Linked DNA regions of Callithrix jacchus. The protein of the gene in region 3 purifies or fractionates together with the protein of the main gene of each other region. This does not show direct contact. Links are inferred from orthologs where the notes say so. Each region holds a gene or a part of one and is shown on either strand. Other genes may lie near its edges.

What was found.
Region 1: the proteins of AURKB (region 3) and SEC16A purify together in Homo sapiens (affinity purification with mass spectrometry; 3 studies listed by BioGRID and IntAct, with this or other methods). This does not show direct contact. The link is inferred for Callithrix jacchus from reciprocal best matches to the Homo sapiens genes AURKB and SEC16A.
Region 2: the proteins of AURKB (region 3) and G3BP2 purify together in Homo sapiens (affinity purification with mass spectrometry; 3 studies listed by BioGRID and IntAct, with this or other methods). This does not show direct contact. The link is inferred for Callithrix jacchus from reciprocal best matches to the Homo sapiens genes AURKB and G3BP2.
Region 4: the proteins of AURKB (region 3) and PPP6C purify together in Homo sapiens (affinity purification with mass spectrometry, with the first as the bait; 3 studies listed by BioGRID). This does not show direct contact. The link is inferred for Callithrix jacchus from reciprocal best matches to the Homo sapiens genes AURKB and PPP6C.

What each region holds. Positions count from the first base shown.
Region 1 is NC_133502.1:184,922,114-184,929,698, reverse strand, and holds part of SEC16A (protein transport protein Sec16A), read left to right. Parts: coding exon 1-53; intron 54-249; coding exon 250-361; intron 362-573; coding exon 574-679; intron 680-2,384; coding exon 2,385-2,525; intron 2,526-3,753; coding exon 3,754-3,867; intron 3,868-4,122; coding exon 4,123-4,315; intron 4,316-4,884; coding exon 4,885-5,130; intron 5,131-5,962; coding exon 5,963-6,045; intron 6,046-7,116; coding exon 7,117-7,272; intron 7,273-7,585. UniProt on the Homo sapiens protein: Acts as a molecular scaffold that plays a key role in the organization of the endoplasmic reticulum exit sites (ERES), also known as transitional endoplasmic reticulum (tER).
Region 2 is NC_133504.1:122,415,537-122,423,673, reverse strand, and holds the start of G3BP2 (ras GTPase-activating protein-binding protein 2), read right to left. Parts: upstream 4,600-8,137; 5' UTR 4,461-4,599; intron 4,362-4,460; exon of another isoform or gene 4,242-4,361; intron 2,151-4,241; exon of another isoform or gene 2,148-2,150; 5' UTR 2,089-2,147; intron 1-2,088. Other genes in the region: USO1 (general vesicular transport factor p115), read left to right, coding at 5,003-5,068.
Region 3 is NC_133506.1:74,673,156-74,681,183, forward strand, and holds the start of AURKB (aurora kinase B), read right to left. Parts: upstream 4,846-8,028; 5' UTR 4,693-4,845; intron 4,523-4,692; 5' UTR 4,498-4,522; coding exon 4,450-4,497; intron 2,741-4,449; coding exon 2,638-2,740; intron 2,526-2,637; coding exon 2,471-2,525; intron 2,266-2,470; coding exon 2,074-2,265; intron 1,798-2,073; coding exon 1,659-1,797; intron 1,562-1,658; coding exon 1,413-1,561; intron 297-1,412; coding exon 122-296; intron 1-121. UniProt on the Homo sapiens protein: Serine/threonine-protein kinase component of the chromosomal passenger complex (CPC), a complex that acts as a key regulator of mitosis.
Region 4 is NC_133502.1:173,749,905-173,757,489, reverse strand, and holds part of PPP6C (serine/threonine-protein phosphatase 6 catalytic subunit), read left to right. Parts: intron 1-467; coding exon 468-609; intron 610-4,654; coding exon 4,655-4,734; intron 4,735-4,895; coding exon 4,896-5,105; intron 5,106-5,357; coding exon of another isoform or gene 5,358-5,555; exon of another isoform or gene 5,556-7,585.

The DNA.
Region 1 (7,585 bases), on a different chromosome or scaffold from region 3:
CAACAACGTGGACGTTGAGTCCAGGACGATGGCCACCATGGGCGACACTCTGGGTAGGTCAGGGTGGAGACAGGTGTTGGGCGTTGTACATGGAGCGCTGAAGGCTCGGTTGTCTGTAGCATTGGCAGGAATCACAAGAACCCAGCCTTCTTGGTCCAGCTGTCGTCTCGAGCACCTTCTGTGTGCATCCTTAACTTCTGCGAGCATTCCCAGCCACTGAGGCTCTGCCTGTGTTTCTTCTCTCCCCAGCTTCCAAGGGCCTCTTAGATGCTGCACACTTTTGCTACCTTATGGCCCAGGTTGGATTTGGGGTTTATACAAAGAAAACTACAAAACTTGTCTTAATCGGATCAAATCACAGGTAAAGGATCAAGTCAGTGTAGTCCTGTAAGTTTTCCTTTAAAAGTTAAAAAAAAAACAAAACAAATCTTTCTCTAGTTAATTTAGAAATGGCCAGAACCGTGGTTTTGTTTGCCTCATGGTGGGACAGACTTCTGGGTGATTTTCTCCAAGGTTGGTTGTGACAATAATGGTCCATTTTTCTCAAGTCAAAGTAATTCACTTTCTCTGTAGTTTACCATTCTTAAAGTTTGCGACCAATGAAGCGATCCAGAGGACGGAGGCCTATGAGTACGCCCAGTCCCTGGGGGCCCAGACCTGCTCCCTGCCCACTTTCCAGGTAAGAGGTGCTACCAGCCTGCTGCAGCGCAGGCGCACAGTCTAAAAAGCTTTTGGTTACTTAGATGGTTGGATTTTTTTTTTTTTTTGAGTTGGAGTCTCTCTCTGTCGCCCAGGTTGGAATGCAATGGCACAATCTCGGCTCACTGCAACCTCCGCCTCCCGGGTTCAAGCAATTCTCCTGCCTCAGCCTCCCTGCAGGTTCACGCCACCATGCCCAGCTAATTTTTTTTTTGTTGTATTTTGGTAGAGACAGGGTTTCACCATGTTGGCCAGGATGGTCTCGATCTCTTAACCTCATGATCCACCCCCACTCAGCCTCCCAAAGTGCTGGGATTACAGGCATGAGCCACAATGCCCAGCAGATTTTTTGAATTCTTATGGAAAAAATGGTGTGATTTTTTTTTTTTGAGGGGAGGATGTTGAAAAGACATTTGATCTAGAATGCTAAGAAACTGCATCGCATTGAATTGGGTATTTCCGTTTGCATTTGATTTCAGGACTTTCATGAGCCTGTTTTGTTCGTTTGTTTTTAAGGAGACAGGATCTCAGTCCTTTGCCCAGCCTGGAGTCCGCTGGGGTGATCACTCCCAGGCTCAAGTGACTCACCTCAGCCTCCAGAGTGGCTGAGTCTACAGGCATGCAACACTGTGACCCACTAAGTTTTTTACTTTTTGTAGAAAAAAACGGTCTTGCTTAAACTCCTGGGCTCAAGCAGCCCTCCTCCCTCAGCCTCCCAAAGTGTTGGGATTACAGGTGTGAGCCACCACGCCCAGCCCATATGAGCCATTTTTAATATTTGAGGGAGGTATTCTCTGATGCACTGTGGGGGTGGTGTGTATAAAATATGTAGAGAGAGAGGCAGGACTCAGTGGCTCATGCCTATAATCCCAGCACTTTGGGAGGCCAAGGTGGGTGGATCACCTGAGCTCAGGAACCAGAGACCAGCCTGGGCAACCCAGCCAGGCGTGGCAGCATGCGCTGGTTCCCAGCTACTCAGAGGCTGAGGTGAAAGGATAGCGTGAGCCCAGGAGATTGAGGCTGCAGTGAGCTGTGATTGTGATCACTCCAGCCAGGGTGACAAAGTAAGACCCTGTCAAAAAAGAAAAAAAAATACGGGCCGGGTGCGGTGGCTCACGCCTGTAATCCCAGCACTTTGGGAGGCCGAGGTGGGTGGATCACAAGGTCGAGATCGAGACCACCCCGGTCAACATGGTGAAACCCCATCTCTACTAAAAATACAAAAAGTTAGCTGGGCATAGTGGCATATGCCTGTAATCTCAGCTACTCAGGAGGCTGAGGCAGGAGAATTGCCTGAACCCACGAGGTGGAGGTTGCGGTGAGCCGAGATTGCGCCATTGCACTCCAGCCTGGGTTACAAGAGTGAAACTCCGTCTCAAAAAAAAAAAATAGACTCAAATATCTAGAGAACGTCTGTGGAGCAGCTTGCGCTGCCTGAAAGGCGGTGGCCTCAGTGCGCACAGTTACATGAAAGGAACTAGCGGGGAGGCAGAGTGATGTTCTTACCGGCTTAGTCCTTGACTTTGCTCTTGAAATCCCTTGGGAACAGGGACTGGGACTGTGGTCAGCGGGCATGGGGGTGGGAGATGATGATGAGTGACGCGTCCAGAAGAGTCTGCAGCTCACAGGGCAATGCTTGGACGCGGGAGAGCCACGGTATAGCAGGGCTGCGTCTGTCCTTTCAGGTGTTTAAGTTCATCTACTCCTGCCGCCTGGCGGAAATGGGGCTAGCCACGCAAGCCTTCCACTACTGCGAGGCCATCGCGAAGAGCATCCTGACGCAGCCGCACCAGCACTCCCCGGTGCTCATCAGCCAGCTTGTGCAGGTGCTGCCCCTCCCATCCCCCGCAGGCAGGGAAGGAGGGCTTCCAGGGCCCCTGGGCGTCCGGGTGGTGCCCCGAGGGTTCAGACGCGCTTTGTGGTAGGCACTTGGAACCTGCCTCTTGGGTAGGTGAAGATCTTTGAATGGCTTTGTGTTTTGCCTGTTAGTCTGGGGACTGTCAGGCACCATGTGCCAGCACAGAACCTTGGCAGCAAGTTTCACCATCAGAGGAGCTGTCTGTAGGATACTCTTTTTAAGATGGAGTATCACTCTGTCGCACAGGCTGGAGTGCAGTCGTGCAATCTCAGCTCACTGCAAACTCCACCTCCCAGATTCAAGCGATTCTCCTGCCTCAGCCTCCTGAGTAGCTCGGATTACAGGCGCTCACCACCACGCTCAGCTAATTTTTTGTATTTTTAGTAGAGATGAGGTTTCACCATGTTGGCCGGGCTGGTCTTGAACTCCTGATCTCAAGTGATGCATGCATCTGCCTCGGTCTCCCAAAGTGCTGGGATTACAGGCATGACCCACCACGCCCGGCCAGGATATTCTTATTTTGAGGCAACTTAGTCTGGTGGTTGATAGCTTAAGTGTTCAGAATTCAGCAGCCTTTGTTTGAGTCCTGGCTACACCACGCAGACCTTACTTTCTCCCCCTGTAAAACGGAGGCGGCGTGACTGGCAGAGAGTGTGGGAGGCGCCATACTCTCTACTTCTCTTCAGTAGTTGCGTTTGTAAGAATGTGCTCATGGGATACCCAAAAAAACTTATTAAGGACATTTTTAGACCCATTTCAAAGTTGAGAGAATTATTCATGCATCCTTAGGTCCTTACCCCCACATCAGTGTTTAAAACACAAGGCCACACTTGTGTTCTGCCCCCACCCGCACCCTGCTCTGCATTCCCCAGATTCCCGATGAAAGCACACAGATGCTCTCAGGTGAGTCCAGCTTTTTCGGAGTCAGTTCCACATGGTCACGTTGCAGCCTTGGGCCTGGCCTGTCCCAGTGCATGTGGGCGGACAGGTCATCTACAGCAACTTCCCACAGTTGCCCAGCATCCAATGTGCTGGGTGTGTCATTAAGCACATGCTGGAAACGTGTGCAGCTAACTAAACTTCATCTGCACTGTAACACTGCAGGTGCATTGCCCCCAGAGTTGGGGCGTTTTGAAGACGGCTCACTTGCCATCACCTGGTGGTGACAAGGGCCTCTGATTTCTGCCCGTGTCTAGATGGCTTCCCAGTTACGACTCTTTGATCCCCAGCTGAGAGAGAAGCCAGAAGAGGAGTCCTTGACCTCACCTGCCTGGCTGGTTCACCTGCAGCAGGTGGAGCGGCAGATCAAGGTACAGCCTTGGTTCAGAGTGGCACAGAGGTGTTTGGCAAGGTGGTTTCTGTCCCTGTCATTTTCACACTGACGGTACCTATTTAAAGACAGCGAAACTATAGATGTGTGCCTACTAGAGTTCCCTAATTCCCCAGAAAAGGCGTATGTGCCCCCTATTGTCCTGAGTTGGGGACACAGCAGTGTGGTGGTGGTGGGCAGGTGCCGGCTGCAGTGCCATAGGCTACTTGCATAGGTGGGCTTTGTTCTCCCTCAGGAGGGGGCCATGGTGTGGCCTCAGGACGGAGCCTTCCCACAGCAGTGTCCTGGCACGCCAAGCTCCGAGGTGGAGCAGTTGGAGGGGCCAGGAGTCAGTCAGCCGGTGGCCCTGGGGATCGCCAACCCACTGCTGGCAGTGCCTGCACCGAGCCCTGAGCACTCGAGCCCAAGCGTGCTGCTGCTGCCCTCAGGTAAGCCCGGGCTTTCTGCTGGCTCACCCCACTTCGTCCTCAGATGCCATTACCACTCCCTGGTTGATTGCTCTCCTTAGCACTTTCTCTTCTCACTCAGTTTATCTGTCCCCATCCCCATGGGAACCCAGTATTTTTGTTCTTGACACATCCAGGGCCCAGCATAGTACTGACAGGCAGCAGCCCTCCCTGGTTTTATGTCAAGTTAGAGGAATGAATGAATGAGTGGCCTGTTTTGACCCCTGGCCATGGAGGAGAGGACTCAAATGGAGCATAGCTTTGGGCCAGGTGGCCACTGTAGGCTTGCATCTAGGCCGGGCTGTGCCCTGGAGCCTGCGTGGTGCTCAGTGACTACACAGGCGTTCATCCTGCCCCACTCCTAGAAAGGAAGCAAATGTTCCGCTTTTTTCCAAACCACTGATGGTTCAGATGGGATGGTGGCTTCAGGTCCTTTGGCTTTACTGGATCTCCCTTATAAAAGCAATGTGCCTGTGCAAACTAACCTGTCCGAAATGTGTCTAGCGTCAGCTCCTTCCAGTGACCTTCTCTTCTCCACTGTTCCCATGCAGCTCCGCCAACGCTCCCTGATGGCCCATTGGCCAGTCCTGCCGGGGTGCCAATGTTCCCAGTGTCACCGCCCCTGGGGCCCCTCGAGCCGGGTCCTGGCTGTGTGACTGCAGGGTCTGCACTTGGCTTCCCAGATCCCTCCAGGCCTGATCCTGCAACTCTGGGCCTGGGGCCTGGCCTGCCATCTGGCGTGCCACCTCTCCAGGAAAGGAGACACCTGCTTCAGGAAGCCAGGAGCCCAGACCCAGGTGGGGCTGCACAGATGCTGTCTTGAGAGCAGAAGCAGTGTTGGGTATGGGGTTTGTGGGGATTGGTGGAAGAGATGGAATTTATTTGACCTTGTAACAAGTTAATTACTTGTCTTAACGAGACCAAAACTCCTGGCAGTTAGTAGACTGGACGGCTTAGGAGTCTCGCTGTGACAGCAGGGTTAGTAGTAGTTTCTTTTGTAAGTCGGCTTTTCATGATGCGAGGCTTAAATGGCTGTTCAGGGCAGGGCACGGTGGCTGTGGCTGTCCCAGGAGTTGTCTTCAGATGGTCCTTCTAAACGCCTGGTAACACGCACGGGTCAGGTTATGAACTTCTGTCTGGAAGTCAGTTTGGTAGATCTTGTCCCTGGTCTGTGTCTATATTGACAAAGCAAAACATAAGCCTACCTTTAAAGAATAAAAGTTGGCTGGGCACAGTGACTCACGCCTCTAATCTCAGCGCTTGTGAGGGGATCACCTGAGGTCAGGAGTTTGAGACCATCCTGGCCAACATGGTGAAACCTTGTCTCTAGTGAAAATACAAAAATTAGCCTGGAGTGGTGGTGCGTGCCTGTAGTCCCAGTTACTCAGGACGCTGAGGCCAGAGAATGGCTTGAACCTGGGAGGTAGAGGTTGTAGTCAGCCGAGATCGAGCCGCTGCACTCCAGCCTGGTGACAGAGCGAGGCTCCATCTCAAAAAAAGAGAAGTCACACTGTGTGGTGGTAGCCGGGTGGGAAGGCAGCGCCTCGGTCTGGGCGCCAAACACGTCCTGCCTCCTGTGTTCCCGTCCGGCAGCACTAAGGTCTGACTTGTTCTCTTTCCCGTTGACAGGGTCGGTGCCGCAGGATGTGCCTGTTGGAAACTCACTTTCGGAGCTAAGCGAAGAAAATTTTGCTGGAAAATTTGCGAATCTGGTACTTTGTCACATTTTCTTCAACTATTTGTTTTCCATAAAGTTCATCTAGTGGGCACCCAGACTCCTTGTTGAGGTGTAGGTGGGATGATGGTGGCGAGGACTGTGAAATTGTTTCTTAAAGCAAAAGTGCTTCTAAGTAGCTTTCATCCTTCAAATATGAAGAGCTGGTGAAAACACTGGTAGGGAAAGATGAGGAAGAGAGAATTCAGTAGCAGAGAAACAGTTACTTTAAGTAGGAGAAATTCCAAAATACAGTCACATCCCCTGATTAATTTTAATTCTTCTAAAATGGGCACCTTCCCTGATTCACACATCTCTTTCCTTTTTTTTTTTGAGACACAGTCTGGCTGTGTCGCCCAGCTGCCTGGAGTGCAGTGGCGTAATCTCGGCTCACTGCAACCTCTGCCTCCCCAGTTCAAACAGTTTTCCTGCCTTCGGCTCCTGAGTAGCTGGGACTACAGGCATCCGCCAGCACGCCCAGCTAATTTTTGTATTTTTAGTAGAGACTGGGGTTTCACCATGTTGGTCAGGCTGGTCTTCAACTCCTGATCTCATGATCCACCCACCCCGGCCTCCCAAAGTGCTGGCATTACAGGCGTGAGCCACTGTGCCTGGCCATCTGTTTTTCTACAGAATCTCTAATTTTTTTTTCTCACAAGAGGATGTCCTGGAATACAAAAGAATTTTTAACATTTTCACTGGTTTTCCGGAAAGTGAGATTTGTCTGATCAGATGTGTTTGGTATAAATACCTCCCCTATTTACTCTGCTCCTAACCTGGAGGGATGGTTGCTTTTATACAGACTGCATTCTGGAACCTTCTTTACAGATAGTCAGCTCTTCATGGGCCTCCCATCAGCAGGCGGTTACTGTAGCTTGAACTCGAATTAGGTGTTTTACCCTTTACAACATTATGTTCCCAGAAAAGTAAAAATGAGGGTTGAACTATTAAAAACTGGGACTGGAGCCAGGAATAAATATTTGTAAATATCACTGTATCTTTGAGAATGCCCACCACCCACCCTGGCCAGTCTTACCCTCAGTGAGTGCCCACGCTCCACTTCTTCCAGCCCCAAATCTCCAGTGAACGCCCTCATTCGGAGGTCCCCCCAGGGTGGGATCATGCTGACTCGGGTCCGACGCAGCCACCTCTGTCTCTCTCACCTGCTCCTGAAACGAAGAGACACGGACAAGCAACCAAGAAAGAGACAAAGGACACTAAGAAGGTAGTACAGCGCCCACGTGCACCTGGCGGCCGGGAGGGTCTGGGCTGGGGGCATGCTTCCCAGCGCACCATCCTCCTCATTCAACCGCAAGCTTCACCCTTCTGAATCAAACAGCCGAGCTCGTGAAGTGCACATGGCGTGGTGGGTGTCTGTGTATTGGTACCCTCAGATAGCTGCCCACCCAGGTCAGCATAGGGACACGGCCTGGCCCCCAGAGGTCCCCTCTAGGCATTGACTATCAGACACACCCGCAAGGGGCTAGACGGCAGCCACTCCTTTGTCACTGTGGCGTGTGCTTGCCACCGGCTTCCGG
Region 2 (8,137 bases), on a different chromosome or scaffold from region 3:
ACCCTAATTCACACTCTACTGAGGAAATCTGGGTGCTCTGCAATGCTTAGCAACAATGCAGAATTTCTACTCCTATGCATATAAGCCAATATTAGGAACTTCCTCAATTGGGGAATTCATCCATTAAAGAATTACCAAGTTTTTATTTGGTGCCAGATGCTGTACTAAGCACTAGGGATAAAGCAATTTACAAAAGAACTAAAATCTTTGCCCTGATGAGGGTAGTCTTCTGGTGGGGGTAAATAGACAATAAACAAGAAAAATATGTAAATTATATACTGTATTTCAATAAATCTACAATGCATGTTTTCCCCCCATTTTCTGCCTGAAATTCAGATCTTTTGGCAAGTTTTTTTTTTTCTTTATCTAGGGTACACTTAATAGCACAGCAGATCTCATGAAATATGGGAACATAGTGTGTATGGGAGAATAATATATCAGACTGATTAAGTGCTACAGAGGAAAATAAGCAGACCAGAGAAAAAAGGAGTATGAGGAGGTTGCAACTTAGACTATTCAGGAAAGATCTATTAACATTTAAGCAAACTTAAAGACAGTGAAGAGTGACCCTTACGTCTATGTGGATGAAGTAGCAAGCATTCCAAATACAGGAAAGAACAATTGCAAAGGGCATAAGGAGGGGAGAAGGTCTCAGAAACATCAAGGAAGCCAGGTGATGTGGCTGGAGAGGAGTGAATCAGATGGAATGTGGCACAGGAGATGATATAAGGGCCAGATTATATATGGACCTGACAGGCCACCTTTCTACTTAGTGCATGATCATTGTCTTGCGTCTAGAAAAGTAGGATAAGGTACTACATAAGAACGCAGGCTTTGGAGCCAGATTATCCTCTATGACATTGGTCAAGTTACCCTCTTAACCTGTTTTCCCATCTGCAAAATAGGGCTAATAACCTACCCACCTCATAGGGTTGTTGTGAGAATTAAGCAAATTATTTTCTATAAAGAACTCTGAACAGAGCCTGGCCAATAAAGAGCACTATGTGTCTGATACGGTTATTGATTAGTCATGGCTTTTCAGTGCTGCTTCCTATAGATTGAAATCATCAATTTATTTTGCTACATGTTGTTTGGTTAATGCATAATACCTAATTATATCAACAATGTTTGTAGATTTTTCTAGCAACTAGTCTTTTTTTTTTTATTTTGAGACAGGGTCTCATTCTATGATCCCAGCTGGAATGCAGTGACACAATCATGGTTCACTGCAGCCTTGATCTCCCAGGCTCAAGAGGTCTTCCCACAGCCTCCCAAGTAAGTGGGACTACAGGCTGGGACTGCAGGCATGTGCCACCATGCTCAGCTAATATTTTATTTTTTGTAGAGATGGGGTTTTGCCACATTGCCCAGGCTGGTCTCAAACTCCTGAGCTTAAGTGATCCTCCCACCTTGGCTTCCCAAAGTGCTGGGATTACAGGCATGAGCCACGTCTTTAAAAACCTACTTATGATACTGAAGGGACTTATAATGTAGCAAAATAATAAATAAATAAAAACCTATATATATTTCAAATACAAATGATCATTGCTATATATCCTCCTAAGCAGGCATTGACAGTATTCCACCTCACTACTACCCCAAGTAAAAAAACAATCTTATGCAATTAGATTTCATTGCTTTTGCTGAGTTTTCCACTAGAAAGTAAGAAACGATAGGAAAAAAAGAAAGCAATTTTAAAAATGGATTTCAAACCAATGAATCTTGTTCACTGATCTATTGTCAGGTTTGGCTTAGAAAAAGAAGAATCATTCGTTTTCTTTTTGATTATATGTATTTTAATGATTCACGGCACTCTTATCCTGAATGCTTAGATTTATGAAAGCCAGAAATGTAACCATGCAAGTCAGGGGGTCACAATTTGTTCATGATTTCTCTTCCTTTATTAAGTCAGGTAGTTCCTGAACATCTACCATGTTAAAAAAAATTATACTAGATGATTAAAGGGTGCAAACAGGAATATAACACAGTCCCCGACTTTTCTCTACAAATCATAGAAGTGGATTAATATGTAACTCTCTTCTTCTGAAATAAGGAGTCCATTTCATGGTTGTTCTGTAGGGACAATACCTTGGGGATCTCACCTTCAGCGCATCGGCACCCAACTGTCTATCCCTCCTGTTCAGGGGCTGCTGTTGGGGAAGAAAACAAGTCAAATGCAGGGAAAACTCATAGTAAGCTGTTACTACTATACTCATTAAAGTATAGTAACCAACTTTCCTCACTGAAGTGTAGTAACCTACTGTACCCACCAAAGTTTAAAACAAAACAGGGCCAGGCACAGTGGCTGACATTTGTAATCCCAGCACTTTAGGAGGCCAAGGTGGGCGGATCACCTGAGGTCGGCAGATCGAGAACAGCTTGACCAACATGGAGAAACACCGTCTCTACTAAAAATACAAAAAAAATTAGCCGGGCATGGTGGTGCATGCCTATAAACCCAGCTACTCAGGAGACTGAGGCAGGAGAATTGCTTGAACCCAGGAGGCGGAGGTTGCAGTGAGCCGAGATCACACCATTGCACTCCAACTTGGGCAACAAGGGCAAAACTCCGTCTCAAAACAAAACAAAACAAGGCATTTGATAGGGCTGGTGCCTTTAAACAACTTTGCTAAAATGTCAAGGCACTCTTTTTAATTACTAAATAAGGGGAGTAACAGACAGCTGTGGCCCACTCCATCTGTGAGCCTCATTCCTGATGATGGGGTAGAGTGAGGTTTAGGGATGGGTGAGGCTTAGGGGCTTGAGTGAAGTTCTTTAGAGCATTTCTTGGTAATAAAAATGCTGAGTATTTACTGGTTACCTTTTTTAGGCTGCAACAAAATGCTCCCATGGAAAATGACTACAGTAAAATGTCAAGTGTATATAGTTTTCAAGCAGAGGACAATGCTTAGTGCACAGTATTTTTGGCAGTATGACCCCACCATTCTCCAAGTTGCACAGGCTTAAAATGTTGGCACTAGGAAACACATTGCCTATGATGTGTTCCCTACAATTCCACTTTACAGATTAAAAAAAGGGAACCTCCTCCTTAGCATAATTTTCATATATTCTTTCAATGATTTATTCATTTATCCATCAATATCACCTTTTATGAGACAGTGGTAAGCAACAGAGATATAAAATGAATAAACATAGTCCTGCCCTTAACAGTTTGGTTTAACAAGCGTTTATTGAATGTCCACCATATATAGTATTAATAACTGCAAAGTGCTAGCATATAGATATATACTTAGATTTTAGGGAAAGCTTTCAAGAATGATGCCAAAGTTGAGTCTTAAGGAATTAGCAGGAGTTTGCTTGATGAAGAGAAGGGAGGGGAAGGGCGTATCCACGTCTGAGAAAAATGTCCAGAGTATGTGGGGGAGGCAGAAGCTGAAAAAGTAGTCAGAAGCCAATCACAATAGGCCTGTATGACAAACTAAGGAGTTTGGACTTTATTTTAGAGAGAAAGGGGAAACAACTGAAGGATTTTTAAAAGACTGACATAAACAGATGTTTTGTTGTTGTTAGTCTCTCCCAAGGGAGGACTGGAGATTGGACTTTCTGAAGGAAGCCAGGGCTGAATGCAGACAAACTAGTTAGGAGGCTGTTGCTGTAATCTCAACGAGAAATGATGAGAACATAATCTATATCATAGGCATAGAGAATGGAGAGCAGAGGACCTATCTGAGAAATAGTCATTTATATAAAAATGATAGGACGTGACTATTGATTGGACATGCGTGGGTGGAAAGCCAGAGTCTAAGATTCTTCCCAGCCTCCTCTGTCTAGCTTAGGCACTTATTTGGACAGTGGTACTACTGAGCACGGCATGCACACAGTAGAAGCAGCGTATTGACTTTTTTTCTTTAAGGGAGGCAGGGGAAGATGAGTTCAATTTTAAAGGCTGAATCTGAGACCTGAGGGGAATCCAAGAGGAGAGGTGCATGAGTCAGTAAACTAACTAGACCCTGTGCTTTTTAGCCTCAAGAAATTTACAAGATTATTCCAGAAGCATGTGTACTGACAACCTCACTGCCGGAGAAACAGGCATATCAATTTGAGAAAATGACATTTTTTTCAGGTTAAAAAAAAACACTGAAAACGCAGGGGTTAATAGTTAATAACAAAACATTATGTTACTCGCCAAACTGACACAGCAGAACAATGTATTTCTCTAGTAAGCTAAATGTAGAGTTTGGTGGGTTTCCTTCTGACGACACTTGAAAATTGAGGTGTACCTGGTGTTTAGATCTAGGAATTCCTTTGAGCAGGTTTGAAGAGCAAGAGCTGAGAAATGCGCCCTCCAGTGGCAGTGGAATGAGGGGCGTCTAGTACCCTTTTTACCACCAAACAAAGCCCTGTAAAGAAATGCAATTTACCGGGATAAGAAAGCCACAACGCTGGTACTACTAAACCGTCAAACCAAACGAACCCTCCCAGGGGCCGGAACCCCTTACCTGTCACGTCGGCCGAAGGAAAATTTCACTTTCGACTCAAAAAGAATAAGACCTCAGATTTGATAGCTTGCAGTAAGTCCCGCTCGGGAGCAATTAAACACCCTGCGTGCAAGTTGAAACGCGTAACCAAATCCTCTCCACCCTGCAGGGCCGGGCTTCGACCACGTGGGTGGCTGCGGCCAGCGGGAACAATCCGCGAAGGGCGGGGGTAGAAGCGAGTCCTGAGGAGGGAGGCAGGGCCTACGCAGTGGGCGGGGCTCCGGCGGAACGTAGCTACGAGGTTTCTCTCGCCTCCGCTCCCCTTTTGCCTTCAACCTTCGAGCCGCCACGTAATGCCACGTCCCCGCGCATGCGCATCTTGGCCGCTGCTGGCGGCTGTTTCCGGGCTTAAGGGGCTAGATCGGCCGCCGAGTTGGAGGCGGTGGTGGATGCGGTAGGAGAGTGTGGAGTGCGGAATTGGGGGTCAGGCCCTGCGGAAGGCGGGGAAGTTGTCTTCGTTTCTTTCCCGGAGGGGCCGATAAACCAGGTGGCTGAAAGGCAAGATGAATTTCCTCCGTGGGGTAATGGGGGGTCAGAGTGCCGGACCCCAGCACACAGAAGCGGAGACGGTGAGAGGAGCGGCGGGTCTGGGACTTGGGAAGGGGTCCGGGCAGGGACAGGGAGGGAGCACTCGGAGACCCGAAGGTCACCTCCCGCGTTCCACCATGGAAGGGAGATCCACAAGCCGCCTCCACCTTTGCCCTCCTTCCGCTCTTGAAATCCCAGAGTTACTTCCTCAAGCCCCCATCGTAGTCCCCATCACTGCGGCTTGGCCGGACTGACGGCAGCCGCGCCCCACAAGCTGCGTAGGCCCCGAAGCTTGGGCTAGGAGAGTGGTCCGCGGGTGGTACCTCCCGGGAAGGGACGGATCGGGACAGTGCTGGCGCGAACTGCCTCCCACGCCCCTCGGGGCTGTGGGCCCGTCCCTCCTTCCCTTTCGCCTGTGTCTGCACTGGCCGAGACGAGCCTGAAGTCCTGCTCCCTCCCTCGCAGTCTGAAACTGGGGCGTTGGAGAAGATTGCATGGTTTAAAACCCAGCTGTTGGTGAGAGCATGTGGCTAAGAATAAAACGATATTCTTTGGGGCACAAATCCACCTGCTCCTGTCCCATCAGAACGCCTGGTGTCATTTGTTCCGATCCCGTTTTTTCGAGCTGACCCAAATATATATCATTTGGCAAATGCTACCTTGGACGTAGTAGGGATATTTCCCGCTCAAACTGCTTTAGGGACACATTCACCGCTTTCTGCCTGAACTCGTAAGGACATTATTTGCAGCGTTATTTTTTTTTTAATGGTTAGCCGCTGAAAACAGTATTGAATAGTTGCTTAGATTCTAGGTTTAGAATATACTTATTTTGAACTTTGGTTATTGTTTAATGGAATCGAAGGTGTACGACTTTTTGAAGTAAACTTTTTATTTGAGAATCATTTTAGATATACATAAAAGTGACCAAGTATAACATTTTAATGGCTAACTTTGGGTAGTATTTATGTACATAACTTTGTTCATGGGATCCTGAGGAATAATATAGTAGCTTTCATTTACCTTGTACTCGGTACTGTGTTGAGCTCTTTATATTCCACACTCTACTTTAATCGTTAACTGCCCTGCAGGATAGGTGACAGTATTCTCACTTTGAAAGTCAAAAAAATGAGGCTTAGAGAGGTGAAGTAACTTGACCCATGTCACACTGCTAGTAATAGAGCCAAGATTCAACCAAGAAGTACCTTGAAAGGCTAGACTCTATTGCTCATGCCTGTGTTTCAATACTTTTTGAGAACTTATAATATTAAAATTAATTGCAGGTGGTCACAGTGACACAGGTCTATAATCCTGGCTACTGGGGATGCTAAGCCAAGGCGGATCGCTTGAGCCCAGGAGTTTGAGACTAGCCTGGGCAACATGAAAAGATTCCATCTTAAAAAAAATATTGCACAGATCTGGTTACAATTGTTTAAAGCATAAGATGAAAGTTGGTAAATCAGTTTCCTTCATTTGAAAATCACTTTTCTGTCTCTCTGTCACATACACACAGGCACACATTTGGCTTCACTCATCCATTCCCACTTGGCAACAAGTCAGCCTGAGCTATCCTACTAGAAGACCATGTTCTGTCTGGGTTACCATAGTCATGCCATAATCACAGCCCACCACTTACTTTGTCTGATATTTGTGTTTGTGACACCAGGTTATGAAATATGGTTTATTACAGCTTACGTTGTGGAGTTAGACCTTGATTTCAATCCTGGCTTTCCACCCTGATTGGATTGGATATGTGAGAGATAGCTGATACCCTGTAAGTAAAATAAGGAAAATGCCTGCTTTTCAGGATGTAATGAAGATTAAGTGAAATAAATAGAAAGAGCCTGGTACTTAGTAGATGTATAACGAGGGGTAATTTTTACTCTGTGTAGGTTGAACGAAGAATACCCATTCCTGTTTTTGTTATTATTGCCCTTATCACGGTGACTTCTGTAGAAAAGATGGAATAGAATTCACAGTATATAGGGTTTTATCGCTAGACGGTCCCAGATAGAGCCTCTTCATTTTATAGGCACCGAGCACTAAAGCAGCTTGCACAATGTTGAAAAGTTGGAGCTAGAACATTTTGATCTTGCCATTGTGGGTGGAATAGCATAGTTTTTATATCACAATTTGAAATGAAGCTTGAGTATCACTTGTGTATGTTGCATATATTAACTTAAAGTGAGGGTACTTTCTTGTTCTGGCCTAACTTTGAGTATGTACATTCAAAATTGGAAAAATAATTTGTCTTCTATTTTTTTTCTTTTTAATCACCTCCCCAGTAAAGTAATTTGTATTCTGAAGATAATTACTCTAGGTGCAATATGAATAAAACTTCTTTCACAATTTCATTCCGTCAGGAAGTAAGACAGGCATAAGGGGTCATGGATTACTAATTTAAAAGTATTTATAGAGCATCAGTGGAATACAGTACAGTATTAGATGTTTTAATTGGTGATTTAGTCTGGCCAGGATATTTGAGTTACCAGAGCTTTGAACCTCTAGCTTCTATATTATCATTTATTATTTTGTAGTTTTTTTCCATTTCTGCAAAATTAATTTTTTTTCATTGTGTCTTTCCACTTTTCTTGCTTTTTCTAACATCCTTTTCCAATGGAAGGCCTTTTTTCTTCATCTGAATTTGACCTGTTATTTAAATTCATCATCAGTGCCTTCCCTAGTCTGTACTTTACCCCACCACATTTCACATACTCTTTCCCTTCTGAGCTATCTTTACATTTTAACTACAGTGTGCATATATCTTATTCCTTCCAGACTCTTAAAGTGTCTTTAGAGCAGGGTTCATACGTATTTTAATCTTTGTTTTTCCACAGTAGTAGATGCCCAGTAAATATTTGTGAAATGAATTAATTATAGTTTTATTTAAAAGGAATCACAGATCTGTAATTGTAGCAACTTACAAATTACTAGGTACTAAAACAAGACTTTTTAAAGACTAGAAATTGAAGTTCTCAAATGATCGAAGTTCATTGTGTCAAACTTTTTACTTAAGGGAGTTTTCAGATTTACTAAATGCTTCGACTGCTTTCCTGTTTTTCTCTTACTGAATTTATCTTTTAATTGTGAAAGCGTTATGTGATTGATTCTAT
Region 3 (8,028 bases):
CCTTGACTACCCATTCTGTTTGGAGTTACTTAGGGCCATGCAAATACACTCTGCCCACACACCCTCAGCCCCCCAGCCCCTGGCCTCTGCATCTGGCATGAAGCCCAGGCCACCCTCCCACCTTGACGATGCGCCGATAGGTCTCATTGTGTGATGCACTTTCAAAGGGTGGGTTCCCCACCAGCAGCTCGTAGCAAAGTACTCCAATGCACCACAGATCCACCTTCTCGTTGTGCGTGCGCCCCTCAATCATCTCAGGGGGCAGGTAGTCCAGGGTACCACACATTGTCTTCCTCCTGGGAGGGATAAGCGGTGTGGGCAGGGGTCCCAGTGACATACAATCTCTCCTTTCCCTGCTGCCTGACAGCAGGGAGCCAAAAGACCACAGGATGTACCACGGGAGAGGTCCAGCCAGGCAGGGTTACTGGGGTGGGGGTGGGATGATGATATATCCCGAAGCCCCAGAGTTAAGCCTGCACATAGCCCCAGCAATTCTACACTGTCGGATATATCTTAACATAATCTAAGGCCAGGCACAGTGGCTCATGCCTGTAATCCCTACACTTTGGGAGGCCAACGTGGGCGGATCAGGAGGTCAGGAGATGGAGACCATCCTGGCTAACACAGTGAAACTCTCTACTAAAAATACAAAAAAAGTTAGCCGGATGTGTTGACACATGCCTGTAGTCTCAGCTACTGGGGAGGCGGAGATTGCAGTGAGCCAAGATTGTGCCACTGCACTCCAGCCTGGATGACAGAGCAAGACTCCATATCTTTCTGGTTTTGTGTTTTTGACTCCATCTCAAAAAAAAAAAAAAGATAATCCAATGTGTGGGCAATGTTCATTTTGGAGTTAAAGAAATAATTGGAGACATCTCTAATGCCCATCAGGCATGTTCTGCTTAAATAAATCAGGTTGTATCTCTACCATGTGATACTATGAAACCATGAAAAAAAAGGTATGGAAGAAAAAAAGGCTGCTGCTCCTGGGCTTTTTTGAGACAAAGTCCAGGCTGGAGTGCAGTGGGGCGATCTTGACTCACTGCAACCTCTACCTCCCGGGTTCAAGCGATTCTCATGTGCCAGCCTCCTGAACAGCTGGGATTACAAGTGTGTACCACCATGTCTATTTTTAGCAGAGAGGGGGTTTTGCCATGTTGGCCAGGCAGGTCCGCCAGTCTTGAACTTCTGGCCTCAAGTGATCCAACCACCTTGGCCTCCCAAAGTGCTGGGATTACAGGTGTGAGTCACCGTGCCTGGCCAAAGTTTGGCCACTGGCCTGTACAGATACCAAAACTGCAACCTTGGCATTATTAGCACCACACTCTAACCAACTGAGCTAACGTGAAACTTGTTCCTGGAGAGGTTTTAATGGCCCAGCCTCACACCTCTGGCCTCCCAGGCCACCATACCTCAGGGAGGGTGCGTGCACAGACCAGCCGAAGTCAGCAATCTTCAGCTCTCCCTTGAGCCCTAAGAGCAGATTCTCTGGCTTTATGTCTCTGTGAATCACCTTCTTCCCATGGCAGTACATTAGAGCATCTGCCAACTCCTCCATGATCTGGAAGGGCCAATGACAGGCAGTCAGACAAAGATGGACCTCCAGCTACAAGCAGCACAAGCCCCTACCGGCGCCCTAGGTGCCCACGCTCCCGGACCGTGGCTGTTCGCTGCTCATCAAATGTGCGGTTCTTCTGCAACTCCTTGTAGAGCTCCCCACGGGGAGCATACTCTAGAATCAAGTAGATCCTCCTCCGGTCATAAAAGTAGTTGTACAGCCGCAGGATGTTGGGATGCCTGGGGGAAGAAATGAGGAGGCCTCAGGCCAAAGGCATAAAAGAGCTGGGAAAGATGATAGGAGAAAACTAGGGTCAGATGTGGCCAGGGACACCAGGGCTGGAAGTGATAAGGGGAAACTGGAGGCAGATTTCTGGATTCAAGGCTCTGACCAGGACTAAGAGCTACATGGGGCTCACTGGCCATAGTTACAGAGAGAGCAATCTGGATGAGGTGGGGCTGAATCTGGGGGTGAGGGAGCAGAGGGGCTTTGGCTCAGGGGGCATCAAGCCATACTGCAGGTGGGCCTGGATTTCGATCTCTCTGCGCAGCTGATGCTCCACACCCTCCTTCTCTATCTGGGACTTGAAGAGGACCTTGAGTGCCACGATGAAATGGCTTTTCTTCTCCCGAGCCAAGTACACGTTTCCAAACTTGCCTTTGCCCAGAGGACGCCCAATCTCAAAGTCATCAATTGTGAAGGACCGCCTGCTTAGAAAGTGGGGGAAGGCAGCTCAGAACCAGTTTTGGTTATCTAAGATGTTTGCTTTTTCCCTGCTTCCTCATCCCATCCTGTCCTCAGCCCCATTTTTCTTCATTCCTACTCCTCCTGCCCTTAGATTTTACCTCCCCGACTTCCTGCATGTTCACTGCCCCCCTCATCCCTGTCCACCCCAAGGCTTGGGGCACTTACGTTAAGACGTTGGGTGTCCCGCTGCTATTCTCCACCACCTTCTGGCCAGGGGCAGCTAAGGAGAGAACAGGTAAGTTGAATGAGAACAGGGATGACATTCTCCTCCCTACACCCTCCCATAGACTCTCATCTCCCCAAGTCAGTCCTCTCCCCCTTGTCCCAGTTACCTGTGGGCTGGACATTGGAGCGGCTCATGAGGACAAGTGCAGATGGGGTGGCAGGCTCTTTCCGGAGGACTCGCTGGGGCAGGGTGCTCAGGCCAGATGGAGTCTGAGAAGGAGCAGGGGGTAGCTCTGAGGGTGCCTTTGTTTGATGACCGGGGTGGAATGTGCTGCAAGCAGCATTTCAGCCCTCTGCTAAAAAGCCAGTCACCCGCCCACCCCCAATTCAAATAGAAACACTGACATGACAGTTTTGCTTCCCAGGCTCTGCTTGTAGTATCATATTAAAATGGATTATTAATAAACCTAAGTAGGCCTAAGATAAGGGGCAAAGGACTCACCCCAACAGCTAACATTTCACCTCTTTGTCCCTGGCCCACACCACCTTCACAGGCATGAAGGTGTCCAATCTGTCCATAACACCACAGTCATTCATCCAGCCCCTCACTCACAGCATAGTAGAGGGCTGGGTCAATAAACACCTATAATTCAAGGGGGTTAGCACAGAGGTATTCTCAGAGTTTCCTTAAAGTTTAGTTTATTAAGGCTTAGATAAGATCCTTGAGGCCTTGAATGTTATAGCAACAACCTGGATTTACAGCTTTGCAAGAACAGGCTTTAGGGACACTAAGAGCTACTCTGATGGGCCTAGACCACTTCTCACTTTCAACTTCTTTTTTTTTTTTTTTTTTTTTTGAGACAGAGTCTCATTCTGTTGCCCAGGATGGAGTGCAGTGGTGCAATCTAAGCTCACTGCAACCTCCGCCTCCCAGGTTCAAGCGATTCTCCCGCCTTAACCTTCCGAGTAGCTAGGACTACAAGGTGCCCACTACCATGCCCAGCTAATTTTTGTACTTTTAGTAGAGACAGGGTTTCACCATGTTGGCCAGGATGGTCTCGATATCTTGTTCTCATGATCTACCTGCCTTAGCCTCCCAAAGTGCTGGGATTACAGGCGTGAGCCACCGTGCCCAGCCTCACTTTCAACTTCTCAAAGTAATAGATGCACTTTTAGGAGTGACCAAGGTAAAAGTGACAGTGGTTTCTCATCCAGACTCCATTCCTGACAGCCTCATTCAGTGCTCCATGAGGGAGGGAGCTGATGCACAAGGACACAGACTCTTTAGGAAGCCCGAGCTCCACAAGCAGGGAGCAAAACCTGTGCAGGGCCCCTTCTGTCTTCTTCAGCCAAGAGAAGAAAGTCCCAGTGCCTCTAAAAACCTGTTCCCCAAAGTGATATTGGTATAGATCTACAAATAACCAAGTTGAATAAAATACAGTCCAGAAATAGACCCACACCTATGTGGGAATTTATATATAATAAAAAATCAGGGGAGACCCTTCAATGAAATCTGTCTGGACAATTGGGAAATAAGTCCATTTAGATCCTTACCTCACCTTAGTCATTAAAATAAATTCCAAATTATTAATTTAGACTTGCCCTGGACTGTTTCAACAGTAACCTTATAGCCTTTTAGAGTCCTTTCTATTTGCTGCCTAGTTTATTTTTTCAGCACATGGGTTGTGAAGGCCAGGCCCTGCCTACTCAGTCCCAGATATCATTGGTATGTGATGAGCAGGCTCAGCCCCAGGGGTCCTCACCGGTTGGGAGTCACTGGCTTGTCAGATTAAAGTTGGCAGGATGTGGCTATAAATGACCATTCTGGGTTCTGTCACCAAATTCTTGGGACCCGTACTTTGGAGCAGAACGGGGAAGAAGGTGCTTAAAGGATTGCTCACTGCAGGATCTCAAGTCTCCCAGCAGGAACTCGCCGTGCAGGGACAAGGTGGGGGCGGGGATGGAGGGAAGGGCCTTACCGTCTGCCGGCCGTAGGGCCAGGGGTAGGCGTTCTCCTTCTGGGCCATCCTTAGAGGGAAAGGCGGAGAAGAGCTGGGCGGAGAAGGGAAACAGCCGTGAGAAGCAGAGAAAAAGAAAGAGAGGGAGGGGTTGGAGCGATCGGGTCGAAAGCGCTAGCCTGGGCTCGTAAAAAGGACCAGGTCAGCACACTAGCCCCAGTCCAGGCGCTGGTCTCACCTCCCCCACCCTGCTATCGTCCCTACCTCCTTCCAGCCTTGCGGAGTGCGCGCGGGCCAGCCCGGTGGACCTCCGACCTGCCCGATCATCTGCCCACTCCCGGCGCAAGGCCTGTGAAAGGAGGCCAGCTCACCTGGAGCCCAAGGCACTGCTACTCTCCCTGCCTCCCGCAAGCAACTGAATCAGTCACGCCGCGCCCTGATCCAGGACCTTTCAAATCTCCCGCCCCTACCCCATTGGTGAGCTCTTCACCCATGCCTAGTTCCCATTGGCTACATATCCTGCGACGTAAGTCATGGGAACCCAATGGAAGAGGCGGAATGAGAAGGTCGCACGCTCGGCTACCAGCTTAGAAAGTTTCCCCAAGTTTCCCCAGTGAATTAGCTTTTTCATTTCTTTTCCTTTTTTTAACTTTTCTCTTTTTTTTGAGACACAGTCTTGCTCTGTTGCACAGGCTGGAGTACTTTGGTGCGATCTCGGCTCACTGCAACCTCCGCCTCCCGGGTCCAAGCGATTTTCGTGCCTCAGCCGACCGAGTAGCTGGGATTACCGGCGCCCGCCACCACGCCTGGCTAATTTTTATATTTTTCGTAGAGACCGGTTTTCGCTGTGTTGGCTAATCAGATCTCGAACTCCTGTCCTCAAATGATCCACCCGCCTCGGCTTTCCATAATGCTGGGATTACAGGCGTGAGCCAACGCACCCACCCCTCTTCTTTTTATTAAAAAAAAAATTAAATCTTTGGCCGGGCGGGGTGGCTCACGCCTATAATCCCAGCATTTTGGGAGGCCGAGGAGGGTGGATCACGAGGTCGAGAGATCGAGACCATCCTGGTCAACATGGTGAAACCCCGTCTCTACTAAAAATACAAAAAATTAGCTGGGCATGGTGGTGCGTGCCTGTAGTCCCAGCTACTCGGGAGGCTGAGGCAGGAGAATTGCTTGAACCCAGGAGGCGGAGGTTGCAGTGAGCCGAGATCGTGCCATTGCACTCCAGTCTGGGTAACAACAGCGAAACTCCGTCTCAAAAAAAAAAAAAAATTTAAATCTTTAATATAACTGGAATTTATTCTTATGCATGTGTGAGCTGGGGTCTAACTTCTGCCCGATGGAGAGCCAGTATGTCAACAACATTTGTTAAACAAACTGCCCCAACAGAATTTAAATGCTGCCCTTGATATATAACATTAGCATATTTACTTGTGTCTATTTCTAGACTTTCTATTCTGTTGTTTGTTCATTTGCCTGTGTGTTTATTCTTGTGTCATTACTAGGTCATTCTTAAAAGTCCTGACATTCCTGGGAGAAGTCTGGGTTAAATAAATACATTTTGGCTGGGTGCGGTGGCTCATGCCTGTAATCCCAGCACTTTGGGAGAACGAGGCAGGCAGATCACAAGGTCAAGAGATCGAGACTATCCTGGCCAACATGGTGAAACCCCATCTGTACTAAAAACACAAAAATTAGCTGGGCGTGGTGGCGCAGGCCTATAGTCCCAGCTACTCGGGAGGCTAAGGCAGGAGAATCGCCAGGGGGTTGCAGTGAGCGGAGATCACATCACTGCACTCCAGTCAGGTGACAGAGTGAGACTCCATTTTATAAATAAATAAATTATTTAATTAATTTTGGGGCCTTCTATGAAATAACCAATGGATATTTGTTAAGTATGTATTGTCCAGCATTCTTCTCCTTTCTTCAAACACTCTATTTTTCCTTTAGGGGACCGCCTGTCTCTCCAGTCTATGCAGTCACGTTTCTTTAGTAGTTTCCGTTGTTAACAACCCCAAATCCCTAGCTTGATGAAGACCTGTGTAAATGGCCATTGTGGTTATCTAGCCAGCATCATTCTCCCAGCTATTCCCACTTCTGAAAGCACTTAGAGTTTTGAGGATCTGAGAAGGAAACTGACTCCATTCCAGGTCCTGAAATGATCCCCAATTGTGACTTATACTAATCAACACCTTTTATTCTAGATCATGGTCATTGGATCAGGGATAAGCATGTGACTTAAGTGGGCCAGCTAGTGGGAATCAGGATTCTTGCTCAGAATGCTAGGCAACTCAAGGAAACATTTACTGGTTTATCATAAAGTGTATTACAAAGGATATAGACGAAAATATCTAAAGGGCAAGGTATGGAGGAAGGGATTTCTGGAAGTGAGCAAGAAAGCACACAGCCCTCATTGCTGCTTCTAGTGCCACTGAAGGTAGCAGCTTGACATTGAAGGCTAATATAGCAGAAGGCAGAAGAGAGGCCTGGAAAGGGCTCCAGGACTTAATGGCATTGCGGAGCCTCTGCATGCCTATATCAGCACTTTTCTTACATGAACAATGGAGCTCCTTCCCAAATGCATTCTAAATGCTGTTTACTGTCAAAAGCATACCGTGCAGAAAAAACAAACTATGGCTGGGCATGGCAGCTCACACCTGCAATCCCACCACTTTGGGAGGTCAAGGCAGGTGTATCCCTTGAGCCAAGGAGTTTAAGATCAGACTGGGTGAACCCAATCTCTACAGAAAATACAAAAAAATTAGTCTAATATGGTAGTATGTGCCTCTAGTACAAGCTACTTAGGAGGCTGAGGCAGGAGGATCACCTGAGCTTGGAGGTCAAGGCTGTGGTGAGCCATGGCTGTGCACTCCAGCCCAGCATTAAAGTGACACCCTGTCTCAATAAAAACAAAAAATGGGCTGGGCGCAATGGCTCATGCCTGTAATCCTAGCACTTCGGGAGCCACAGCAAGGTGGATTGCCTCAGCTCAGGAGTTCAAGACCCTCCTGGGCAACGTGGTGAAACCCCATCTCTACTAAAATACTAAGAATTAGCCAGTTGTGGTGGTGGGTGCCTATAATCCCAGCTACTCAGGAGGCTGAGACATAAGAATTGATTGAACCTGAGAGTGTTGCAGTGAGCTGAGATCACGCCACTACACTCCAGCCTGGGCAATACAGCCGAGGGTCTGTTGAAAAAAAAAAAAAACACACAGAAAACAAAAAAAGACCCAATTTTTCCTCTGCCCTCACACCACAGCAATCAACACAGAAGACTTCTGTGACCGCATGTATGAGGATATTACCCCACCACCAAGCAAGCAATCAGTTCTGCAGCAGACATCAGCTGGGTGTCTTCCAATTCAATTCTGACACTATCTACCTGGAGAGAGCATCAGATCCCACAGGTTGAGCGTTCAGTCCCACAAGACTGCCCCTCACTTTGGATGCCAACCACAAGAGTCAGTTTGTTTTACCTGTATTCATGACCAACTGGGTATAAATTGGGGTTCCGGTCAGGCGTGGTGGCTCACACCTGTAATCCAAGCACTTTGAAGGCTAAGGTGGGCAGATCACCTGAGGTCGGGAGTTC
Region 4 (7,585 bases), on a different chromosome or scaffold from region 3:
TACTTGGGAGGCGGAGGTGAGAGGATTGATCGTTTAAGCTCAGGAGTTCTAGATCAACCTGGGCAACATAGTAAGACCCCGTCTCTTAAGAAAAAAAAAAAAAAGATTGAATTTTTAAAAATTAAATTACTTAAAAAATACTGGTTCACAGATGACCAGATTAACGATTGTAGGTAATAGAGGATTGAAAAAATGGTGTTTTTATCAGGGAACATTCTTGAGACAATGGCACGGCAGATTATTATAGGTTTCCCTGGAATAAAAAATCTTGTTTCTATGAACATTTAGTAGAAACAGTTTGTTTACTTCTATTTTAATTTTTTGTTAAAATCAGATTTTCAAATGATTCAGTATGTAACTATTGTAGTTATTCTGGGCTCAGTCTATGAATTTGTGCAGTTTGATATAATTTGAAAAGAATATTGTGGCCGTTATATTGTTTGTAACTGTAAACTTTTACTTTACAGGGTGATTTTGTAGACAGAGGTTACTATAGTTTGGAGACCTTCACTTACCTTCTTGCATTAAAGGCTAAATGGCCTGATCGTATTACACTTTTGCGAGGAAATCATGAGAGTAGACAGATAACACAGGTGTATGGATTTTATGGTAAGACCTTCTATTTTTCTGATTCTGAATATTATTTTACTTTCCTCTTTGGAAAACAAAGCTACACGCCATACACGTGCTTTTTGTGTATTATTTTCCACATGTCCTCACTCCTTTACTCCTCTACTCCCAACTAATTGAAAATCTTATGCTGAAGAGAAGACCGCTGTCAACTTTTTGTTGTGCATCTTTCTAGATCTGTGCCTCAAAGTATAGTCCTTGGTTTACCTTGTTGGAATCACCTGGGTTCTCATTAAAAATGTAGATTGTGGCTGGGCGTGGTGGCCCACGCCTGTAATCCCAGCACTTTGGGAGACTGAGGTGGGTGAATCATGAGACCAGGAAATTGAGACCATCCTGGCCAACGGGGTGAAACCCCATCTTTTCTAAAAATACAAAAATTAGCTGGGTGTGGTGGTGCGTGCCTGTAATCCCAGCCGCTCGGAAGGCTGAAGCAGGAGAATCACTTGAATTGGGAGATAGAGATTGCAGTGAGTCGGGGTCGTGCCGCCGCACTCTAGCCTGGTGACAGAGCGAAACTCCGCCTCAAAAAAAAAAAAAAAAAAAAAAAGTAGATTGCTGGGCCTAACCAAAGATTTACTAATCGAAATATTTTGGAGTAGGAATCTAGAATCTGCCGAAGGTGAATGTTCTGCACAAATTTGAGAGTCCATTCTCATTTATTTTTTTTTTGTGTGTGTATGTATTTATGTGTGTTTATATATATACAAACATACACACACTAAAATGGGGTCATACCTGATTTTTTCACCTCATTAATGTTATTTTTATGGCTGCATCATATACCATATGGATGTACCATAATTGATGTATCAGTCTGTCCTCTGTCATGGGACATTAGAGTTGTTTTTAAGTTGTTGTTATACATCCTTTTACATATATCTCTGTGTGCTCACTCCAGAGAATGCTAGGTCCTCGGGGATCAGAAGCAGAATTTAGTCATAAAAAGCAAAATAGCTGCTTCTCTTAAAACTTTTGTTTGGTTAAAAGTTAAAAAGAGGCTGGGCACGGTGGCTCACACCTATAATCCCATCACTTTGGGAGGCCGAGGCTGGTGGATCACAAGGTTAAGAGATCGAGACCATCCTGGTCAACAAGGTGAAACCTCTTCTCTACTAAAAATACAAAAATTAGCTGGGCATGGTGGTGCGCACCTGTAGTTCCAGCTACTTGGGAGGCTGAGGCAGGAGAATTGCTTGAACCCAGGAGGCGGAGGTTGCAGTGAGCCGAGATTGTGCCATTGCACTCCAGTCTGGGTAACAACAGCGAAACTCTGTCTCAAAAAAAAAAAAAAAAGAAAGAAAGTTAAAAAGAGAGAGAGAGCATATTAGGAAGCCCCTTGAAGGAAGTATAACTGTTAAGATTATGAATTTGGATTTTCCTTGAGCACAATTCAGGCAGATATTGAGAGATTTGGAAACATTAATTTCAGAACCCTTTAGTTTTAAATTTTATATTTTGAATTATCTTCTGTCATTGTAAAGATAGGCTGGGCTGGGCTCAGTGGCTCACCCCTGTAATCCCAGCACTTTGGGAAGCCGAGGCAGGCGGATCACGATGGCAGGAGATCAAGACCATCCTGGCCAACATGGTAAAACCTTGTCTCTATTAAAAATACAAAAATTAGCTGGGCATGGTAGCGCTTGCCTGTAGTCCCAGCTACTTGGGAGGCTGAGGCAGGAGAATTGCTTGAACCAGAAGGTGGAGGTTGCAGTTTGCTGATATTGTGCCATTGCACTCTAGCCTGGGTGACAGAGTGAGACTCCGTCTCAAAACACAACACAATACAACAAAACAAGATAGGCTGAACTCTCTTACACTTCAGTTTGTCTGCCATTATCAATTAGATAAATTTTTAAATTTTATTGTTTTCATATAACTTAATAATTGTAAAGTTAAATAATTAATATTTGTTTCCTTTCTACAAGTTACTTTTTATTTTCATTCACAAAATAAACACCATTTGAAATAAAACTTCTGGATTATTTTGCAAAATAGTATGTTGGGTGACATACTATGATGTTAGCTCAGTGAAAACAATGCTAAAACTAATGTTACAAAAACACACACACACACACACACACATAACTAATGCTACATGTATAATATATAAAGTACATACTGTTATATATGACTAATATATGACATGTTTTTATATATGACTTTTTATGTATATAATTGTACCCCAGAATTCATCCAGCATTTGTCAGTGTAGGGCAAAAGGAGAAAAACTGGGGAGAGGAAGGAGGACATTTTAATCAAGGTGCCTTCACTGAGGAAAAAGACAGCAACACAAAATCTAGTATTGAACTTTCTTGTTCCCAAAGCTCTGTTCATGTAGTGAGTTTTTATGGTTTTGTTTAATAAAATGAAACTTAACTCCTCAGGAAGAAGATAATTTTAGTTATAGGACTTATATTGATTTTGAGGAGTCAAATATCTCTATATGACTTTACAGTGGGCCTTCAGTTCACACTGATAAACACATACTGGGCAGTTACTATTAAACCAATTTTAAGATCACTGCCTGCAACCTGAGCTCATTGTTGGGGCTCTCTTATGGCAAATTCACATAAGAATCTTGCTTCACATAGAGATATAATTGAGAAAATCTTGAAGATTGGCCATAACCTGCAGACTTCTTTCCAATAGCATTTTCATCTGTGCTTAAAGGCAATAGTGGTATGTCAGTTTTTGGGTTTTTTTTCCCTAAAATTTTCAGAAGAAGCCAAAGTGCAGAGCTTCCATGGCGTTAACAGAAGTGTGTACCCTATTAACTATGTAGACAATTAGGGTACAGTGGTTCACATCTGTAATCTCAGCACTTTGGGAGGCTGAGGTGGGAGGATTGCTTGAGCTCAGGAGTTCAGGACCAGCCTGGACAACATAGGGAGACTCCTATCTCTACTGGGAATAAAATTATCCAGGTGTGGTGGCACATGCCTGTAGTTCTAGCTGTTCGGGAAGCTGAGGTGGTAGAATCGCTTGAGCCCAGGTGGTTGAGGTTGCAGTGAGCTGTCATCACACCACTGCTGATTGCGCTACTGTATTCCAACTTGGGCGACAGAGTGAGACCTTGTCTCAAAAACAAAAAAACTATGTAGGCAGCAGAAGGATGTTTAACTGAGAATTTATAAGAGCCTGATTGGCAATCTGTCCTTAGCCTGCAGAAGCTCAAGTGTTTGATCTACTGAAGCTCAAGTGTTTAGTTGTACAATTTGCAGAAAATCTCAGAAGAGACAACTTACTCCTGAGAAGGTTGAGTTAGAAATTGCTCATGCTCCTATAACTAAGGGTCCTCTAATTCATTTGATTTGATTATCCTGCTAGAACAGTCTCCTTTAATAAATTTGTTTGTTTACCAGAATTGCCTAATATTAACATAACTGTCAAACATTTGCTTCAGGTTGTGTGAAATTAGTATTTAGCTCTTCTGATTATAGCATTTTGGTTAATAATTTCAGCTGCGTCTTTGTCCATTCCAGGAATGAAGAGCAGTACTAAAACCTTAGGAAATATAGTCATGTGCCACATAATGACATTTCAGTTGATGATGGGCTGCATATACGTCAGTGGTCCTATAAGATATAACAGAGCTGAAAAATTCCTATTGCACAAATACTTATTATGTTACTGTTTCCTTATGTTATTTAGTACAATTACATGCTGCACAAGTTTATAGCGTAGGAGCAATAGGCTATATGATATTGCCTAGGTGTGTAGTAGGCTAGCCATCTAAGTTTATGTAAGGACATGCTATGATGTTCACACGGCGATGCAGTCACCTAACAAAGCATTTTTCAGAATGTATCCCCATGGTTAAGGGACATATAACTATATATAGTTAGTCACTAGTGTTCTTTCGGCTCTATGTGGAGGTCCTGCCAGGACTAAATATGTGTCATAACTTGTTATCCTAGTTTAAGCTGAATTTCTGTTGTACTGAAGGCTGCTGTAGTATTGGATATATTGTTTATTTTTATTGGCAGATTCATTAATTAAATCTCTTCTGTTTCTTTCACAGATGAGTGCCAAACCAAATATGGAAATGCTAATGCCTGGAGATACTGTACCAAAGTTTTTGACATGCTCACTGTAGCAGCTGTAAGTTTCTATTTTTGAAGCCTCATCTATGTTTCTGCCAATAACACATTGCATATTTTTATCTAGTTGTCATCTCAGTTATATTGATATCTTTAGTATTCATCGATGCATTTAGATATGCCTTAGGTTATATGTTCAACTCTGTTATCTTTTTTTGCTAGTTAATAGATGAGCAGATTTTGTGTGTCCATGGTGGTTTATCTCCGGATATCAAAACACTGGATCAAATTCGAACCATCGAACGGAATCAGGAAATTCCTCATAAAGGAGCATTTTGTGATCTGGTTTGGTCTGATCCTGAAGATGTGGATACTTGGGCTATCAGTCCCCGAGGAGCGGGTTGGCTTTTTGGAGCAAAGGTCACAAATGAGGTAAAGCCAACATTTTTGGAAAAGTAATTTGTGGATTGCTAATGGGATGCATAGAGAACTATGGTGGCCCTAGATAACAAACTTGTAGTCTACTTTACTCAAAATATGGTGGCTATGGATATTAAAGTTCTAGTTTAAGTATTAATGTATGTCTTTCTTTAGTGGTTAAATAAGATCTCACAGTGAAAACACCTACTCCGGCATCCACTTGGTAATAACATATAAAATAAATGTTCCTTTTCTATTTTTGAGATGGAGTTTTGCTCTGTTACCCAGGCTGGAGTGCGATGGTGTGATCTTGGCTCACTGGAACCTCTGCCTCCCAGGTTCAAGCAGTTCTGCCTCAGCCTCCCAGGTATCTGGGACCCCAGGCATGTGCCACCATGCCCAGCTAAGATTTGTATTTTTAGTAGAGATAGGGTTTCACCCTGTTGCCCAGGCTGGTCTTGAACTCCTGACTTCAGGTTATCCACCTGCCTTGGACTCCCAAAGTGCTGGGATTACAAGCGTGAGCCCCGTGCCTGGCCTACATCAGTCTTTTTTTTAACAGAAATATTAGTTCATTTGAAAGGCCAAATAGATCCAAAGAAGGAAGATGAAAATTAAATACTTAAATTGATCAAAAGGTACTACCGTATTACCTAAAACCTACTGTTGCAGTGGCAATAGGCTAAGGAAGATTAAGCTACAGCAAATCATCTAATGTGAATGTTAGCAATTACATATCAGGAAGCACATTTGCTTTCCGGAAGACTGTGGTACAGTGTTCATTTAGGCCCAAGAGGATATTTGGCCAGGAAAGGATCAAGATGGATAAAGGTAATAGGTACAAAAGAGAATCCAAGCCACATAGTCAAGCAGATCAGGCTTCTTCCTCCCAAGAAACATTTGCTTCGCTGTGCTGCCTCCCACCTCAGTCACCTCCCTATTCCATGGCTGCTCAAGCCAAGCTGCCTGCTCCTGCCTTACAGGGTGCTCAGCCACTGGGACTAGGTTTGGGGTTGCCCAGGCCTTTTGCTGTAATTTAGCATAGACCTTGGGGAGACCTGGTCACATATGGGTTGGCTTTGTTGCTGGTTGTTCCTGATAAGGAAAACCCTGAAGCATTCACGTGCAAAGTGGTCTGAGCTTCTCCAATCACACCCCCACACAACATCCTCAAAAGTCTGAAATCTTGCAACAGCTGAGTTGTAGTTAAAGCTGAAGGGTTCACAAAATCATGAAGGAAGCCAGGATGAGACAATGCAGGTAGGAAGTCCCAGCAGTTAATCTCAATCTGTCTTTTCCCATTTTGGATAAGCTAATTTATACCTGATATGGGATGTAGAAAGCTACACTGGAACAAGCTGGGTCTTCTGCTGTTATTTGTCTTCCAATACCAGGGGAAAACAAGAGGTGGGGAGGATTTTATTCTTAAAAAGCCTCAGAAGTTACTCTATTATAAAGGGACATGACTGAATAGGTAAGAAATGGATTCTTCATTGTGAGTTTTCTTGATGGCTTCTGCAAGGATCATAAAGATGTCAATCACCTGTATATTGGAGCAGTGCTTCATCTTGTCCTCCTGGGGTATGGTATTGGTGACTACTACTGCTTTAAAGCACGCACTGTTGATGCGAGAAATAGCCGGACCAGAGAAGATTCCATGAGTCAAGATAGTATAAACTGGTGGCTCCAGCTGAGAGAAGTTTGTCAGCTGCACGGCAGATTGTTCCATAAGTGTCAGCCATGTCATCCACAAGGGTGGCCACCTAATCCTTCACATCTCCCACCAGCACCATGCAGTCCACTTCATTGGCCTTTGTGAATCAAGGCAAAGCCCACATTCAGCCTGTCTGCAATGGAGGTCACTCTCTTAGCTCCACCAGCACCAGATGAGACAATAGCACAGTTCTTTGACTCAGAGATATTCTCTCTTGTCCACTTCAGGATACCTGGCTCTGCATACAAATTGTCCACTGGTATATCAAAAAAGCCCTGAATTTGAGAAGCATGTAGGTCCATGGTGATAATATATGTGATCTGCTCCTGCTACAGATGGCAAATTTGCAACAAGCTTGGCTGAGATTGGCACCCAACTCTTATCTTTCTTGTCCTTCTGGGCATAAGGGAAGCATGGGATGACTGCAGTAACCCGGCTGGCTGAAGCACTCTTACAGGCATTAATCATGATCAAAGGCTCCATTAAATTGTCATAGATTTTGCCACAACCATTCTGAGTGATGTAGACATCCTTTTCACGTACACTTTCGCCATTTCCCACACAAGTCTCCTGGTTGCTGAATTTATTAGCCACTACCTTGCCTAACTCCAGGCCCAGGCAGTCAGCAGTTTTCTGAGGTAAGTTCCTGGTGGGAGCTGCCGCTGAAGATTTTTTGTATTCGGCGTCCTGGCCAACTACCCTAAGCACTCTTCGCTAAGTGATGACAGCTGCTGCAGAGACTGGACCCGAAGTACTAACTGATTTGCATTGCTACTCC